Linked DNA regions of Arabidopsis thaliana. The protein of the gene in region 2 interacts with the protein of the main gene of each other region in a pairwise test. Each region holds a gene or a part of one and is shown on either strand. Other genes may lie near its edges.

The links.
Region 1: the proteins of RR20 (region 2) and AT1G80440 interact in a two-hybrid assay, tested with the Arabidopsis thaliana proteins (one study listed by BioGRID).

What each region holds. Positions count from the first base shown.
Region 1 is NC_003070.9:30,239,477-30,243,981, forward strand, and holds AT1G80440 (Galactose oxidase/kelch repeat superfamily protein), read left to right. Parts: upstream 1-1,975; 5' UTR 1,976-2,286; coding exon 2,287-3,351; 3' UTR 3,352-3,700; downstream 3,701-4,505.
Region 2 is NC_003074.8:23,176,013-23,180,554, reverse strand, and holds RR20 (two-component response regulator), read left to right. Parts: upstream 1-2,260; coding exon 2,261-2,453; intron 2,454-2,603; coding exon 2,604-2,756; intron 2,757-2,883; coding exon 2,884-3,243; intron 3,244-3,323; coding exon 3,324-3,412; intron 3,413-3,513; coding exon 3,514-3,999; downstream 4,000-4,542. UniProt on the Arabidopsis thaliana protein: Putative transcriptional activator that binds specifically to the DNA sequence 5'-[AG]GATT-3'. Functions as a response regulator involved in His-to-Asp phosphorelay signal transduction system.

The DNA.
Region 1 (4,505 bases), on a different chromosome or scaffold from region 2:
TAATTGGAAAAAAAAACGAGTAAAATGCAAATAAATAACGATCACATATATAAAGAAGTAATTAAACTCTTTTGGCTAGTTATTTCGTGTGTTCTTCGTTTTTTTCCAATTTGCTTGGCGAATTTTCTTGTGAAGAAAATACTTGTTAAGAGATTTGAATAATTGAACGCGACCAAAGAAGAGTATGAGAATTGAAAATATCGACACGAACATTGATGAAGTGGGTCCAACACTCCCAGTACCAGTCTATTCGGGCTATTCCTATCTACGAAGAATCGGATTGCTTCCGTCGTTTATTGTTTAGATTTATCAAAGAGCCAGCCACCCGACGAATCACGACGACTCTTCTTCCCCCCTTTAAGGATGTTGACACCGTGTCGTTTTGTCACCTTATAGAGTTATAGTCATTCAGACGCCGTGCCGTTTTATCAGTTAGAGTTATTTTCTTCATGTTGAACCTTTTTTTGTCAGCCCGTTTTATCCCACGTTGAAGTTTCAATTAGCTTATTTTAAAAAATATTAGATCGGAGTATCTTTTGTCTAATTAACCAAAACTCCAAGTTACTACATTTATATGCAAATACATGAATGGGTCATAGTAATCACAAAACTATTGTTTTAATAAACCAAATATATGCGTTAAAGATGTTTACAGCTTTATACATATGGCGGACACTAGAACTAGTCCAACCTGCATGGAACATGCTACTAATTCCCTAAATATTGTATTATTCCGTATTCAATTTTGTACAGCTACGAAAAATAGAGTATTGTACATAAATGTCCATACGTTACAGATTAAATTAGTAAGCAAAAATGCTTTGATTAACGAGTATACGCTTTTGAGTACGGAGACAACATTTCGTTTCTTTATGTCACACGCGTTAAGAAGTTTAATAAAGATCATATATAATTACGACAAATATCTGTATATATTGTAGCTATATTTATAAAAACATATAACTTTGGTCATCGGTAATAGTTTAAAGATGTCGAGTATCAATACAGATTTAAATATGGCCGACCAAAGATAGACACACACATACAGACAACAACAAGCCAAATAAGAATCAAATAAATTTTTGTCAAAAAAAAGGGAAATTCTACAAGTGAAATTAGAGAAATTATCTAGAAGGATTTTAGAGGAAAGACTCCAAGGCATTAGTCTTTGAGCTGGATTTGGATTTCATTTTAATAAAACATAAATTAATCTTTAAACGCTATTATGTGCTTGGATTATGTACCACATAATGCGAAGGAAACATCTTTGTAGTTTTGCGTTCTTCATATAATAATATTTTGCCGTCGTGTATGTGTAGTATACATATATTCATCACTTTAGTATACAAGTTGCCACAAAGTTCTGTTGTTTATAATAAAACCAAAAAAAAAGAACAAGTTCTGTTGTTTATAATAAAACCAAAAAAAAAAAAAACAAGTTCTGTTGTTTGGAATTAGGAGATCGATTTAAATTTTTACAAAGCAAAAGGGTGTGTGTGGTCCGATTAATATTTTAGTATATGAGAAAAAGAAAGGGTGTGATCTAAATTATAGATTCAGAAGGTCCATTCAAAAAGTACAGTCTTTTATGTGTAGGTTTTAAGTTTTTTCATTATTCTTAAACGAACAAATGATAGATTAATTTTATTCTGTTTTTTGTTGTGCGCACTAGTAAGTGTATACTCTATAGCATTAGATAGAAAACAGAGTAACATGTCAAAACAACATCCAAAATCTAAAATCAGTATTAGTCGAAAGGCCTAATTCGATATTCGGTAGTATATTTTACCGTCTATGTTTAGATATATAATCTGTTGTTGACTGGAATTCGAATGCTAAATTACTAAACCTGACCAGAAAAATATCAGGAGAAAATGAACTTGGATATGACATCCATCAACTTGTCCCAATTGGTCCAAAGTCTCCATCTTTAAATACAAGACACAACCATTAACCGTTTTTGCCCATACTAACTCAAATTCCGTTATCTTCATTTTATTTGATTTAAACTATAAAATATACAACACAAAAATTATATTAAAAAAAGAAAGAAACGATGAATGAATCAACAAGTTTTCTAGAAACACTTATCTTCAAATATCTATAAAGCGGCACACTCTCCTCTTTCCCATCATCATCATCATCTTCTTCAACCTTGTCTCGATCCAAAATTTCATCTTTTACCAAAACTATTACAATATCCCTCACTCTACTTGTAAAGCTTCAATCTTCTTCACTTCTCAACAAACAGATAAACAAAAAGCTTCAATCTTTGATACTTTCTCGATGGAACTTATCCCCAATCTTCCCGACGACGTTGCTCGCGAGTGTCTCCTTCGCTCCTCCTACCAACAGTTCCCTGTCATCGCCTCCGTTTGCAGAGCCTGGAACCGTGAAGTCTCTCTCTCTCAGTTTTTACATCAGCGAAAAGCTTCACGCCATAGCCAAGAGCTTCTTATTCTGTCTCAGGCTCGTGTCGACCCCGCTGGATCCGGAAAGATCATCGCTACGCCTGAATACCGGATCTCTGTTCTCGAATCCGGGTCGGGTCTTTGGACGGAGCTTCCTCCGATTCCTGGTCAAACCAAAGGACTTCCTCTGTTCTGCAGATTGGTTTCCGTTGGATCCGATCTTATTGTCTTGGGTGGGCTTGACCCGATTACGTGGCAGGCCCATGATTCGGTATTCGTCTTCAGTTTTCTCACTTCCAAATGGCGCGTGGGGGCAACCATGCCAGGTGTACGGAGGTCCTTCTTCGGATGCGCTTCGGATTCGGATCGGACGGTGCTGGTTGCGGGTGGACACAACGAAGAGAAATGTGCGCTTACGTCAGCTATGGTGTATGACGTGTCAGAAGACAAGTGGACGTTTTTGCCGGATATGGCGCGGGAACGAGACGAGTGCAAAGCGGTATTCCATGCTGGCAGATTCCACGTCATCGGTGGATATGCCACTGAGGAACAGGGGCAGTTTAGTAAAACAGCCGAATCGTTCGATGTGTCTACGTGGGAGTGGGGTCCACTTACGGAGGACTTCCTCGACGACACCGGCGATACCGTTAGCCCTCCGACCTGCGTCGCCGGTGGGGATTTGTACGCGTGCTGGGGTGGCGATGTGATGATGTTTCTAAATGACAAGTGGCAAAAGGTGGGCCAGATCCCTGCTGATGTGTACAATGTTACTTACGTAGCGGTGAGGCCCGGGATGCTGATTGTGATCGGCAACGGGAAGGCGTTGGCTGGATACGGTGAAGCCACCGTAGGGTATATATGTGATTTAAGTAGCTCACGATGGGTAAAATTGGAAACACACGGTGGTCATGTTCAAGCTGGCTGCTTCTTGGAGGTCTAATGGAAAACCTATTCATCTTTGGAGTTTGAACCTAAACCGCAACAAACCAATGGGTAGTCTCGTGTGTCAATCTACAAATCTTTTCATGAACAACAAAATAAAGAAATATTGTATTTATTCAGTGTCACTTTACCAAATATTTATGTTCTCTATACAAAACTTCAAAAGGAAGATTTGAACTTTTAGGTTCTCTATACAAAACTGATCTAATTATATAATTGCAAGCAAACAAACTTTCGAAACATGTGTCGACACAAAACTTTTAAAGTTTATTAAAGGAGCCTTGATTTTGGTATCCAAGAACTTTAATGGGTTTCATAGACTAGTCCTATTAATTTTTTTACTCGAGGCCCAAATAGACCAGATTTTGAATGATGAACTTTTGATCTTTAAATGGGCTTTTGGATGGGACTTGAGACAAATGGATGGCTAGGATTAGAGCAGAGGTTTGAAATATGGATTACACCTGAGGGGCAGAGTTCGAAGATAGACTGACAACAGACTTTAAAGAGAGATGCAGAGACACCCTCTGTTACAAGTAACATCTATTTAATATCGATACAAAAGAAAAGTGCATTATATTTTCAGCAGGAGAATTAAATCGTAGCCGTTGAATCTGCAGAGGAAATAGGCGCCGCTTCGTTCTGCGTCACAGCTTTGTCATTAAATCCAACGGCTGGCAGCTTTATGACACACACAAACAATTGAATTGGAGCAGTGTTAAACTGTACAGAGAATTTAGCTTCTTTAGTTTCTTTCTTAACCAAAAAGTCAACACATTTTTGTATCTATTATAAGTCGGCCTATTTAGCCTATCTTTTCATTCATCTCCATACACACATCATCAACTTTATTGTAAGGAAAAATTTAAGATACGAAGACGATTACGCTAGCTTGATCGTTGTAGACTTGTCAAAAAGTACTACTTTCCAAAAGAAAATTGAGCATTGTGGTTATATTATCTTTTTTCAAGAAATTTAGAAACTAGATAGCTTGTGTTTTGGATCCCACGTATTAATGGTTAGATAAAAGATCTAAAAAGACATTGATTTATATGCTCGTGAAATGATGTCTTCCTTGACTAATGTAAGTAATTGCCGCGTATAGAATAAGATTTTTTTGTATTCCAAAAGGAAGTGGAGTACACGCGCCGA
Region 2 (4,542 bases):
ATTTACACTACGTATAGAAATGGGCTTAACATGTCATCATCATTGAAAGAGAAGCAAGATGCTAACATGAAAACCAAAACAAGTTTTCATTCAGACACAACGTAATTTTGTTTATACTGTATCTTTTGTCTTTTATACATAAGATTACATACCTTTTCTTTTTGGAACTTTTACTAGGATAGTAGAAAAACAATGGTTTGCTCGTTTCTTTTTCAACACAACATTGGTTGTTCATAATTCTTAATATTCCCTTTTTATTAGTATAGATTTTAAATATATTAAAAAATGATAAAGCAGAATCTCAACCCAAAACAAAACCCTAAAATAAAACAAAACCACAAATCAAAACATTAACACGCTAAATAGAAGACCAAACTATATTAATAGTAGAAGGACAAAATCAAAGTGTTGGATTTAGTTTGTTACTTTTGTCCATCTCAATCCAATTTCTTCGACTTTGTGGGTGCCACAATTTCGACTTCAACGGGAAATATGAGTATCATCCCAACTGAGAAAAGGACCCAACAAACCCTGATCACAAAAGTCAACAAAATAACAATTTTGGTTTGCTCTTTAAACAAAGAGAGCATAAGATCAGCTACCATAGATAGGAGTGCCAACTGGATGATGAGTACTAGTTTTTTTTTTTGCGAAGAGTTTAATTCCTTCAAGTTTACTGTGTTGCCTACGACGCCTTAAATAACACTTCATGTAAGGGTAACTTAAAATTATCCACTCCCTAGTGAATTCTGCGGCAATGGAGGTCGTCAACGTGAAGAATAAAATTAGAGAGAAAATTTTCGGCCCACTTCCAGGTTCAGTAAAGGACTCAAATAAATCAAAAGGCGGAGACGACATATGGGTGAAACCTGTCGTTGATAGAGGAAAAGACGTTGTTAGAACCATAAATAATTCATACAATTTGGAGAAGCTGACGGAACATACCTGTGCAATTCATTAGTTTAAGCAGTTTCTGTCGGTTTTTAGTTAGAAATTACAGAATACAGATGGTTTAACTTCGTCTTTATACAATTTTATAATAAGGTGCACATGTGGTTGGATACATTATATCGTATCGAGCGAATCTTTCCTTAAAAAGGAAATATACGTCAAATATGTAAAGATTTGGCTTATATTATGTACATGTGAAAATTTGGAAAACACACTTTTTCGTGTATATATTTCTTTTTGCAATTGTTATACATATATCCTCTTAAGCTTTTACATTAGTACATGTGAAGTATTTGGAAAGTTTAACGACCGGTTTATCTATATGGAAACAAATTATATTTTTCCTTTTCTAGTACAGAGACACGCCTTCTTACACAATTTAACTATAAAGTTCATAAATGACATTCAACTTCGTTTTTATGTGTTTTGTTTTAAATTAATTTTATTCCCTTTGTCCATCAATAAGTATTTTATAAATTTCAAAGACTTAACATTAGTCTCGCTGCTGGAAACTCTGGTTTTGAACCTCCTCAATAGTCATCTGTCCACTTCTCAACTCAACATGCATCAGGGCACTTTCCTTGTTTCTCAAGAAACTCCATATCCTTGTCTCCATAATTAAATCTGCGGCTCATTACGATCAGGGCTCGTGACTAAGGCTCAATCTTAATAAGCATTGTCCCTTGATAACGTGCCCTCTAAGTAATAGCCTAAACGGCTGAACGTAAACAGGAAAGTCGAAACAGAGTGGAAGAAGAAGAAATCTTTATATTGTTGACTATAGTTACTACCATAACTGATACCATTGTTTACCATTCATAGCCCTTATTTCAGCCAGTTTCTTCATGGAACTCTCTCTCATTTCCCTATGATGTCGAAAAACTGGGCACAAATTGATGTCAGAAGCTGAAGTTCCTCAACAGGAATTACATTTCACAATAACAATGAGGACTCAAGTTTCATGTTTTAGTCAAACAGTAAACACGAAACGGAGCTAAAGAGAGAAACGCCAACAATACTCTTTTGTTTCTTTTTTTTCTTTTGTTATTTTCCTTAACTCATTTTTTTCGATTTTTAATTCAAAATAATATATGGATAACTATATATATTTTTTTAAAAAGTCTATACCTAACAATTAATAACAGTATATATACTTTCCAATATTCAACTTTTCGCACGTGATCCATATATATGCATACCTAGTTTTTCGCACGCTCATAAACCCCTCTATTCTCTCTTCCTTCTTCAATTCAATCTCTATCTCTTTCCTTGCGCTTCAAGCATTCATAGATTAGATTTTCTATCTTTAATGTCAGTTTTTTCGAACATACTCGATGAGAACTCTCGCAACTTGCGAAACGAAATACCTTGTGATGATGGAATTGCATCTCCCATCAACGACGACGACGAAGAGTTCTTGACTAAAAGTAATAGGGTTCTTTTGGTCGGTGCAGATTCCAATTCGTCTTTGAAGAATCTCATGACACAGTATTCCTATCAAGGTATCTAGGTAGATTGAGTTAGTTTTTTTTTTTTTTATGTTTCTTTGACGAATTAAGGTTGGTTAGGGTTTTACGTTACTTTTTTTTTTTCGGTAATTGAGGGGTTTACATTAATTGCGGTCTATGGTTATGCTTAATTTCGTGTTTCAGTAACGAAATATGAGAGCGGAGAAGAGGCCATGGCTTTCTTGATGAAGAATAAGCATGAGATCGATCTAGTGATTTGGGATTTCCATATGCCCGATATCAATGGACTCGACGCTCTCAATATCATTGGTAAACAGATGGATTTACCCGTAGTAAGTAAGTATATATCCCTTATTAATTATACCAATATTTTTTATTGTATTCTTCTCGATATATATAACGTAACGTAGTAAGACATTCTCTAATCTTTAATATGATCCAATGTGAAATTATTCATGTCAAGTCATGTCTCATGAATACAAGAAGGAAACGGTGATGGAATCGATTAAGTACGGTGCGTGTGACTTTCTTGTGAAGCCGGTGAGCAAAGAGGTCATTGCAGTTCTATGGCGACATGTTTATCGAAAAAGGATGTCAAAATCTGGTTTAGATAAACCGGGTGAATCAGGTACGGTTGAATCAGATCCGGACGAATACGACGATTTAGAGCAAGACAATCTCTATGAGAGCAACGAAGAAGGCTCCAAAAACACTTGCGATCACAAAGAAGAGAAGTCTCCGACCAAGAAACCGCGGATGCAATGGACTCCTGAACTTCACCACAAATTTGAAGTAGCCGTCGAAAAAATGGGCAGCCTTGAGAGTAATTAATTACACTAATTAATCTTGCGTGAATAAGCAAGTTACTTGATTATTATCTGACCTTTTAATTGCATTTTGCAGAGGCTTTTCCAAAGACGATTCTCAAATATATGCAAGAAGAATTGAATGTCCAGGGGCTCACTAGAAACAACGTAGCCAGTCATCTCCAGGTAATTTTGGATCTTTATTCTATTTTAGGGTTTTCTTGTTTCTTAGTGGACAAGAAACCAGTAATAAGGGCTATAACAATTTAAAACGATTCCGATGGCAGAAGTACCGTCAAAGTTCCAAAAAGACCTGCACTCCTCAGGAGCCTCAAGAAGATTTTGTCTGGGGTAATGCTGGGCCAGATGTCACTCTTGCAGCCTCTAAAACGCTCCTAAGCTCCCATGCTACACCATCGTATTTGATAAACAATCAAGCTGCGCCTAGAGGATCATATTTCATGAACAATATCCCGTATCCATCAACCAGTTGCCTGCCAGTGAACAACAACAACTGCTTCATGACCAACCCTTCCACTTATATTGACCAATTCCAGCACCAGCTGCAGCAGCAGCAGCAACATCAACAGTACCAGTCTACTCTAAATAGTATATCTGCCATGCTAACCAAGCAAGAATCTAGACACGTGCCATCATCAGCCATGGAAAATTCCGAGCCGCTCATGATCTATAATTCAAATCTACCTTTCGGTATCGACGAGTGTTTCCCACCTGCAGGATTCAACATTTTCGATCAGATTGGTCACAATTGATTATCCAATCTAAGGTGATGAATCCATCTATATATCTATCTATCCTAGTTTTTTGTGTCTCTCTCTTTTAATCCCTCAAACGCGAATAGCAATACCTTGTTGCTATATGCCTTTGTTATAAGCACTAGGTTTTTTTTTTTAAACTTTGGTCAAACCTATGGTTTAATAGTGAGATCTATATAATCACTTGCGTAGATATAAAGTTGATTTAGGGCGTGGGTAATCTCAATGTCAACATGGACACTACTCACTGTGTTTGGATTAGTATGTAGTTTTGTATTCGAACGCTCAGAGGCTTTTTTTTAAGGTTTTTTTACAGTCGACGATATTGTTACAGAAACTAAACGATATTTTATTTCTCTGTTTTCATTAAAACTATATAGGCTATGTAACTACAACAATAAAATTTGCGATTTCATTTTAGTATCCAAATTTTGTATATGTTAACTTCTGAGCATAATGAAATTTCAAGTACCTACCATGGAAATGTCAGTTTAGGATATTATGGGCCTTGCGAGATATTAATATTTTGAAGTTAAAAAT